Sus scrofa: one gene and its partner. The protein of the gene in region 2 binds, or shares a complex with, the protein of the main gene of each other region. Links are inferred from orthologs where the notes say so. Each region holds a gene or a part of one and is shown on either strand. Other genes may lie near its edges. The genes, in order: SMARCA5 and MYBBP1A.

Evidence for each region.
Region 1: MYBBP1A (region 2) and SMARCA5 share a complex: the UniProt entries of both Homo sapiens proteins name them as parts of the B-WICH complex. The link is inferred for Sus scrofa from reciprocal best matches to the Homo sapiens genes MYBBP1A and SMARCA5.

What each region holds. Positions count from the first base shown.
Region 1 is NC_010450.4:84,221,937-84,226,534, forward strand, and holds the start of SMARCA5 (SWI/SNF-related matrix-associated actin-dependent regulator of chromatin subfamily A member 5), read right to left. Parts: upstream 3,008-4,598; 5' UTR 2,488-3,007; coding exon 2,311-2,487; intron 1-2,310. UniProt on the Homo sapiens protein: ATPase that possesses intrinsic ATP-dependent nucleosome-remodeling activity.
Region 2 is NC_010454.4:50,503,001-50,507,411, forward strand, and holds the start of MYBBP1A (myb-binding protein 1A), read right to left. Parts: upstream 3,077-4,411; 5' UTR 3,028-3,076; coding exon 2,821-3,027; intron 2,603-2,820; coding exon 2,504-2,602; intron 1,851-2,503; coding exon 1,767-1,850; intron 1,679-1,766; coding exon 1,604-1,678; intron 1,503-1,603; coding exon 1,395-1,502; intron 1-1,394. UniProt on the Homo sapiens protein: May activate or repress transcription via interactions with sequence specific DNA-binding proteins. Repression may be mediated at least in part by histone deacetylase activity (HDAC activity).

The DNA of each region.
Region 1 (4,598 bases), on a different chromosome or scaffold from region 2:
GTGGCACATGGAGGTTCCCAGGCTAGGGGTCTAATTGGAGCTGTTGCCGCCAGCCTACACCACAGCCATAGTTAACTCCAGATCTGAGACGTGTCTGCAACCTACACAACAACTCCTGGCATTGCCGGATCCTTAACCCACTGAGCAAGGCCAGGGGGATCGAACCTGCAACCTCATGATTCCTAGTCAGATTCGTTTCCACTACGCAATGACGGGAACTCCTAAAATATTTTTTTAAGTTGTGAAACAGATTGTCAGATACGTTACACATGTATGCAGAAATCTAGTTTTTAACCAGTGAACTTCAATGATTTCTAAATTCAGTTAAGGAAAAAGAAGAGACTGAAGGTATTTTTTTTTTTAAGACCCCCCCCCCAAAATGAAAAAAAGAAAAACCACCCTATAATGTAAGGGAAAAAACAAAAACTAAAACTATTCAGTGAAAAGGTGGATAAAACTACTGATATTCCTATACTGAGAAGGTAAAAGATAACTAAATCATTCTTTAATAAATAAAAATTGTCAAACATCTTTTTTTAAGACTATGACAGGGCAAGATACGTGGGGAAATGGTCAGCTTCAGAGCCAGACCTGGGTTCTATCACAGGTTCTACTTACCAGAAGACTCAATTTTCTCATTTGGCAAATAAAAATACCACTGACTTCATATGGTCCTTGTTATATCCTTAATAATCATAGTTAAACTTTTATTCCACTTTAACTTTAAAAATAGCAACTGAAGCCAAAATATTCAGTTTAGGCTTTAAATTATTCTGCTTTCTGATTCTGTAACACCCCTAGTGAGACTGTGCTTGTTATTCCAAAATTTGAATGACAGCCCCCTTTGAGAAGCTGAGAACAGCAAAACATCAATTTGTTCAGAACGGTATATTTACATACAATTGCTTTCAATGTCAGACTTTCAAACCCCCTTAGGCCAGGAAGCAGGAATCCACGTTAACCCTGATAATTCAAAAAACGATTTAAAACCTAAAGAGAAAAATAGGCAACACCAGACAGGAATTTGAAACAAATCTCAAGACACCGAAAACTACAGAATACCAGAAGTCCTATTCTATCGAGGTCCACCTTCACCTAAAAGTTCTTCCAAAAACTAACGTGTTACTTCATCCTAGACTAGACCGCTGGGGCCCAAATAAAACTACTGCGCCAAATGCTTCAATGGTAAACCGCGCTACCATTTCCTTATTGCGTTAATTCTGCAGCAATGTTCATTTTTAAAGCAGTATTACCTTAGCTCAATCTATCTAAGGATGGAAAAGTCCCAGAAATCTCTGGCCTGCGACTATAACATATATCAAAACAGATCGAAAGCCAAGAATAAAATTTGGAAGGAGCAAGCAATCACTTTGTTCCCAGACATCGCAAAGCCTTGGAGCACACCCAAGAGACCCGCCTGGCTGTTCCCCAATCTTTCCACCCCCGCAGTATTGTCACCATCCCCTGGCCGGCCAACCCCAGCCCAGAAGGCAGGCTCCGCGGCAGGGAGGGGTACCAATTCTCAAATACAGGCCAATGCCCTACAGGAGTGCTGGTCTGAAAACCCCCAACCCCCCCCCAACCCCTGACTCACTAAATCATTCATCCTTCCATCCATCACCCCACCCCCAAATTAGATGGGGGTTCCAGACAGCTGCCGCTGCCTTGGTCGCTTCCCTCCCAATGGAACAGCGCCTGGGAGGAGCCTCCTCTCCCTTCACAGGAGCAGCTGCGCCCCGCTTATCCCCACTGCGCCCTCAGCCATCCAGCTCTCGCCATTGTTTCTGCCCAGAACAGATACCGCCCCCGCAAGGACCGGGATGAAGAAAAGGAGGCCCAAATCCTCGGATGCGCTGCTTTTAAATGCCTTCCCCACCCCGTCCGTCTACCCTCGTTCCTAAAGGGAAATCTCCCTCCCCCTCCCCCCAGGTTTAGTGGAAACTAAAATCGAGATTCAGAGATGGGCGAGGGAATTATGGGAGCCTCACTTAAAAAAAAAAGTCGGCAGATCCGTCTCGGCCTCAGTAATCAAGAACATGTGTCTAATAAGAGCGTTTGAGGATTTGGCAAGGTTCGCGAAAGAGACAAATAACGCAAATATGAGGTGCCAGAGACCCAGCTGAGTCTACTTGCATAGGTAAGCAGAAGGGCGCAAGGGAGAGCATCATTTCGGATCATCCAAGGGTCTGAGGCCGAGTTTGGGTGCAGAGGAGTGAAGTTCGGCTTCGCGTTTTATCACCAATACACAGCAGAGGGAACCAGTTCCTCCTCCCTATCCCGCCCTCTCCCCATGCCACAGGCCGTCCTTACCTCCATCTCGGAGTCCGTGGGGCCGGCGCCGGCCGCGGAGGGAGCCGCCGGGACGCCGAAGCCCTCGGGGCCGCCTTTGTTGCTGTTGTTGCTCCCGCTACAGGCGGCGGAGGATGCGGGCTTGGAAGGCGCGCTCTCGGGAGGCGGGGGTGGCGGAGGGTCGGCCGCGGACGACATGATGTTCCGTCTGCGTCACCCGCTGCTGCCAGAGGCCCGGCCCAGCAGGGATGAGGAGGAGGCCTAGGCCTGGGTGGCTACGTCGCAGTGAGCCGATGGAGGAGCGGAAGGACCACCCGAATGCTTCCTCTCCGCAGCTCGGCGACGAGCCCAAGCCAGGCCCAGGAGCCTCCCCCTCTAGCTGTCCTCCTCTTCCTCCCGGCTCTGGGTTCGACCGGCGCTTTACCTCACGGCGGGAATCACGTCGACGAGGGTGGGCGGGGCCACCCGGGTCACTGAGGTCAGAGAAGGCAGGCCGATTTACAGGAGGGCGGAGAGTTGGGGGAAAAAGAAAGGAAAGCAAGAAGGACCAAGACCAGGAACTAGCCTAGCCGCCTCCTCTTCTTCCTCTGGTAGATATCAGGTATCTCGCCAGCATCCAGGTCTACTACCTACGCCACCGACTTTCAACACTCGCGAGATTGATAGTTAGCTAAGAGACCGGGGTTTCAAAGTACGCATGCGCATTCTCTACTCCAAGCTCTTGGCCACGCCCCCTGTGCCCCTACGGGCTCTAGGGCGATGAGTGGGCGGGGCCTCAAAGGAGGGCTCGGAGACGTAAGTTTGTGCGTCGGTTTCCGGGCGTGACGCCACCGCAGTCTTACAGTCGTTCTTAACGGCTCGCTGTGCCGGGTCGCTGTGCTTCCCCAGCTTGGCAGTAATCCCAGCGCTGCTCGAAAAATTGCCCGGGTCTTGCGCCGCCTGCTGCAGCGTAGAGGCTTCTGCAGGCCTCTCTTTTACCGCCTCCGCTTATTGGCGTGACGCCACAGAGTTGACAATGATACGGTTTTCCCAGTTGACGTCTCACTGTTTTGTTGTCTAAGAAGAGTGCCTGTTAGTGTGATTTTTGTTTGTTTTGTCATCCTTATGTTAGCTATATGATTGATCATTTCTAAATTCCTTCTTCGGTAGAGTTAGACGATATTTCCTCTAAGTTTACATGCTAAAAGTAAGCAAACTGCGCCAACCACCATGTGAGAAACAAGAGTAATTAGCAGATAAGAAAGAGAGGTAATAGGTTATATCTTTTCCTCAACCACCAAATATTAAATAAAAACAGACATTCTTCTAAAAAAGTGTTACAAGTAATCACTGGTTTGTACATTGCTTTACGCTATGTTCAACACAGCCTTTTGCATCCACCTACTGCAGAATTTAAGCACATGGTGTTCTATTTGACAGCAAATCTGCATACTGCACTAAATTGTTATTTGCCCTGCATAGGCTCTTACTCATCTTTATATCCCCATATCCAATATTCTATTAGTACGTATTGAATAAAGGAGACAAACTTGTCAAGAGTCAAGGTTTGACCAAACCATTGACTATGCTGAATTACAAACAGAAGGGATTTCCTTTGAATATTTAACCTGCAAACTTTTAACCAATTCAATGATAATTCTTTGAGATCTGGAAGAATGTTCCCCAGCCTATTAGAAATGCCCTGTCTGAGACTCTAGGGAACCCCCAAGGATAGATAAAAAGAAAACTATATAAATGATGATCATCATCGTCTTTATATGTACTTGAGAAATGCTAGCACAATATAGTCCAACATTGAAAGTTTGATTTTAAAACTGTTGTATACCACAAAGTGAATTATTATTAACTTGTAACAACCAGACTGTAGAAAAAAGTTTATTATATAGTAGTAACTAAAAAATTTTAACAGTTCAAAAATATAGATAAAACTTTGGAAGGATAGTCCTAAAATTATTGAAAGTGATTGTTGTTGATGTATATTACCTAATTCATTTTTGTTTCTCTTTTTTTATTTTTCTAAAATGAGTTTGTGTATTATTATTTATTTTATTTTATTTTTTTGCTTTTTAGGGCTGCACCCTGGGTATGTGGAGTTCCCAGGCTAGGGGTCCAATTGGAGCTACAGCTGCCAGCCTACACCATAGCAATGCAGAATCAGAGCCATGTCTGTGACCTACCCAACAGTTCACAGCAAGGCCAGATCCTTAACCTGCTGAGCAAGGCCAGATATTGAACCCGCAGCCTCATGGTTACTAGTCAGATTCATTTCTGGTGCACCGCAACGGGAACTCCGAGTTTGTATATATTGA
Region 2 (4,411 bases):
ACCATGACCAGAGGGTATCTGTTAAAAAAGCTCAAATCCCCAAGCCCCAGAAGCTAGGTTTAAACGAGCTCCTCTCTGGCGCTCACTGGCCCAGGTGTGCCCTTTTGATCATTCCTCTTTTGAGTCTTTCAGGATTAGCCTCTTCCTTTTCTTCCCTCCTTCCTTTCTCCCTGGCTGCGGCATACAGCGGCTTGGTGCAGGATCTTTGTGAAAGCACCAAGTCCTAACCACTAAACCACCAGGGAACTCCCAGGACCAGCTTGCTTCTTATACAAGGAGCTCCAAGTGAAGAGTTGGGATTCGAACTCCGGGTCCTTCTGGCTCTGTGGCTGGGGCTGTAAAGAAAGCCTTGGCCTGGGACGTGCCAGTCCCTGCCTCTTCCCCAACAGCAAAGGATTCTAGGTCCTAGTCCGCCTCCATTTCCCAAGCAGAGTGGTGGGGACCCCCCGAAGGGGCCAGCTCCGACCCAGACAATAATGGCCAACAGGTTTCACCCTCTTGCTACCCAATATGGCAGCCACTGGCCCCACATGGACACAGCACTTAGAATTCGCTATTCTGAATGGACACGTGCTGTCAGTGTAAAATGCATACCGGGTTTTGGAGACTTAACATGAGAGGAACCATAAAATACCTCTACAGCTTTTTTCTTTTTTTAAGGGCTGTTCCCGGGCCAGGGGTCAAAATGGAGCTGCAGCTACTGGCCTATAGATCTTTTTCGAAAAAAATTTTATGGCCGCCATCTGTGTGTGGCATATGGAAGTTCCCATGCCAGGGATTGAAACCGAGCCACAGCTGTGGCAAGCCAGGTCTTTTAATCCACTGCACCGGGCTGGGGAACAAACCTGCACCTCCGCAGGAACTCGAGCTGCTACAGCCAGATTCTTAATCCTCTGTGCCATGGTGGGAACTCCTCAACTACCTCCGTACCTTTTTTTTTTTTTTTGTCCTTTGTATTTTTAGGGCCACACCCGCAGCATATGGAGATTCCCAGGCTCGGGGTCTAATTGGAGCTACACCTGCCAGCCTACACCACAACTCACAGCAATGCCGGATCCTTAACCCACTGAGCAAGGCCAGGGACCAAACCTGCACCCTCATGGTTCCTAGTTGGATTCATTTCCACTGAGCCAGGACACTGGAACGACTCCTCTGTAACTTTTTATACCGATTACAGACTAAAGTGATACTGCAGATATACTAGGTTAAATAAAACATGCTACTCAACTATACTTGTTTCTTTTTACTTTTTAAACTTAGTTACTACAAAGTGTCACAGTGCACATTTATGTATCTGTGGACAGTCCTGCTTCCAGGCATTAACTTGAGTCTTCCCCACGTTCTGGAACAGGCTGCGCTATCAATCAGAGGCCCCAAAGCTGGTGAGCCAGTACCTCAGAAAGGATGTCCACCAGGGCCTTCTGGGGCTGCTCCTGCAGGTGGTTGTAGTGCTGAGCCAGGACTTGCAGCAGCTTCACCGACTTCATCAGCACCTCCGAGTCCTGGGACCCCCCCAGAAGGGGACAGGGTGTCAACAGGGCTCTGCCACTCCTCCAACTCCCAAGCTAGTCCACACGCGCCCTGGGATCCCCAAGGCTCTTACCTTCACCAGCCTGCCTGACTGAAAGAGGGCTAGCACCCCAAACAGGTTTGCAAAGAGAGCTGGTCTCATCATCCCCTGGAAAAGGATTCCAGGCACTGGTGAGAAGGGCCCAAGCGCTCCCCACCCCGGGGCTGCCGACTTCCCTGGGGCCACTAATTCTCACCTTCTTCACCTTCTGCAGGTTATACTTCTCCTGTATCTGCTGCAAGATGCTGCAGAGAGGGATGTCTTCAAAAGACTGTAACAGCTGCCAGGAGGAAGAGAGGGGCTCAGGGGAGCGGCCCAGCCACATCCCTCAGACCTCAACCTCCTCCCACTTCTCCCTTCAACTTCTGCCCAGAGTCCATGGGCCCCTGCTCCCATCCAAAGGACGCCTCAAAAGCTGCCTACGCCCCACCCCATGCTGGGCAGTGCTGACGATGGAACACTGCAGTGAATGGAGAGAAATCTTGCCTCCCTGTTTCAGAAAGTACTTCCTTTAGCCCCTGGACTGTGCCCCGAGATCCCCGAGACATTCTGCCCCAGAGCCTGCTGAGCTCCCCCCAGGCTGATCCACAAGGACTGGGTGGCCTATAATTAGCCAAGTGGGGGGGGCGGACCCTGAACCCTAAAAAGGTAAGTGAACCCACTCCAAAGCTTACTGCCCACAGTAAATGTACCTTGGTGGTTGGTGAACCCATGTACTCAAAAGCAAACTCACCCTCCCACTCCACCTGCCTGGGCGTCTCTGCAGAAAGATCTTGCTCACACACTCTCTCCACGTCCACGTGGGGACACCCTCCATTAGCTCCGACGCCACCCCAACAACCTCTCAGCAGCCACTTCCCCCGTATCTGCCCTCCTCACTCCCCACCGCTCCGAGTAGGATGGCTGGCCTCCTCCAGGGAGCCACCACCTCACCTGTGCTAGGGCCAGACTGTAGCAGGGCCGGGCTGTTTCACGTCCGACCCCGAGCCCGGTGATTAGGCGCTTCAGGGCGTACTTCATCTCGGACGATCCCTGAGGAACCAAGCACATCCCCAGGTGCACCAGGGAAAAGACGCGTCAGGCACCCGCCCATCCTCGCGCTTCGGCGCGCATTCGCCTCGGCCTCCAGGTTCGCGACTCCATGACCCCAGTCCCGAGTCCTGGGGCCCGCCGCCATATTTTTGCCGGGATCTACGCAGCTTCCTGCCCCCAAGCCCCGCAGATTCCTGCCCCAGGCCCCGCCACCACACCTTTGGCCTTGCGCGCAGATACTCCAGCAGCTTCTCCGTGGCCTCAAGCCGCGTCTCCTGCTGCGGCTTCGCAATGTCCCAGAAGAAGTCCAAGAACTCGCGGCTGTGCTTCAGCAGACCATGACGGTCGGCAGGCCCGGCGCCCGTCTTCGGGACCTCCACCGGAGACACAGGCTCAGCGACGTCCATACTCTCCGTCTCCGCCATGCTCGTGGAACACGTGGGACCTGAAGACTGCCTCTTCCGGGTCAGGTCGCGGCGCGTGCGCACTGGGTTGGGTCGGCTGGGGGCGGAGCCGGTTGGGGGCGGGGGAAAGGGCGGGGCCGGGCCGGGCCGGGGGCGGCTGGGCCCTTCCGCGCTCACTCAGGGAGCTCAGGAGTTTGGATTTTATTCTGATTGTAATAGGAAGTCATTGGAGGGTTTTATGCAGGGACAAGTCTTGATCCTATCCATACTTTTAGCAGACTAGTCTTCTTTGTGTGGGGGATGGATTGCAGGAGAGCAGGGGTGGAAGCAGGAAGACCAGTTGCACAGTGGTGGATTGGACCAAGGTAATATGAGAAAATTCCAGCTAATTTGGAGCTGGTAGAAGGTGATGAAAAAGAGAAGGATGATAGGTTTGGGGCCAAAATAAGTGGGTAGATTGTGAGAGTTCCCCTTGTAGCTCAGTGGCTTAAGAATCTGACTAATATCCGTGAGGATGCAGGTTTGGTCCCTGGCCTCATCCAATGGGTTAAGGATCTGGTGTTGCCGAAAGCGGAGGCTTTAAGTCACAGACACATCTTGGATCTGACGTTGCTGTGGCTGTGATGTAGACCGGCAGCTGCAGCTCCCTCCGATTTGACCCCTGTCCTGGGAACTTCCATATTCTGGAGGTGTGGCCCCTAAAAAAAGAAAAACAAAGAAAGTGGGTAGACTGTGATATCATTTACTGAGCTGGGGGAACTAGTGTTTGTGGGGGGAGCAAGGAGGGAGAGGTGGTGGGATCAAAAGTCCTCTTAGATCAGAGATACCGTTTACAGTGCAGGAGAGGAGAGCTACTGGCCACCCCTATTTCTTGGCTTGACAAGCTGTCTCTAGAGGGTTATAGTTCAGAGAGACCCCAGCCCTTAGGGAGGCAGGGAGGGGAGGGCCTTGGCTACCCAGATCCGGCCCCTTTTGTGGCCCCCGGGGCACCTCCTACTCACCCTCTCAACCCCTCCCTCTGCTGTCTGTTTCAGAAAATGTGAATAAGCAGTTGGGAGTTTCCTTTGTGGTGCTAGCGGTTAACGAATCTGACTAGGAACCATGAGGTTGCAGGTTCGATCCCTGGCCTTGCTCGGTGGGTTGGGGATCCGGTGTTGCCGTGAGCTGTGGTGTAGGTTGCAGACGCTGCTCGGATCCCACGTTGCTGTGGCTCTGGCGTAGGCCGGCAGCTGCAGCTCCGATTTGACCTCTAGCCTGGGAACGTCCATATGCTGCGGGAGCAGCCCTAGAAAAGGCAAAAAGACAAAAAGAAAAAAAAGAAAATGTGAATAAGCAGTTTACTTTGTACACATGGTGCCTCAGGAGGCAGAAGGTAAGCAGAACAGGGGGGGAGCAAAAAATCACC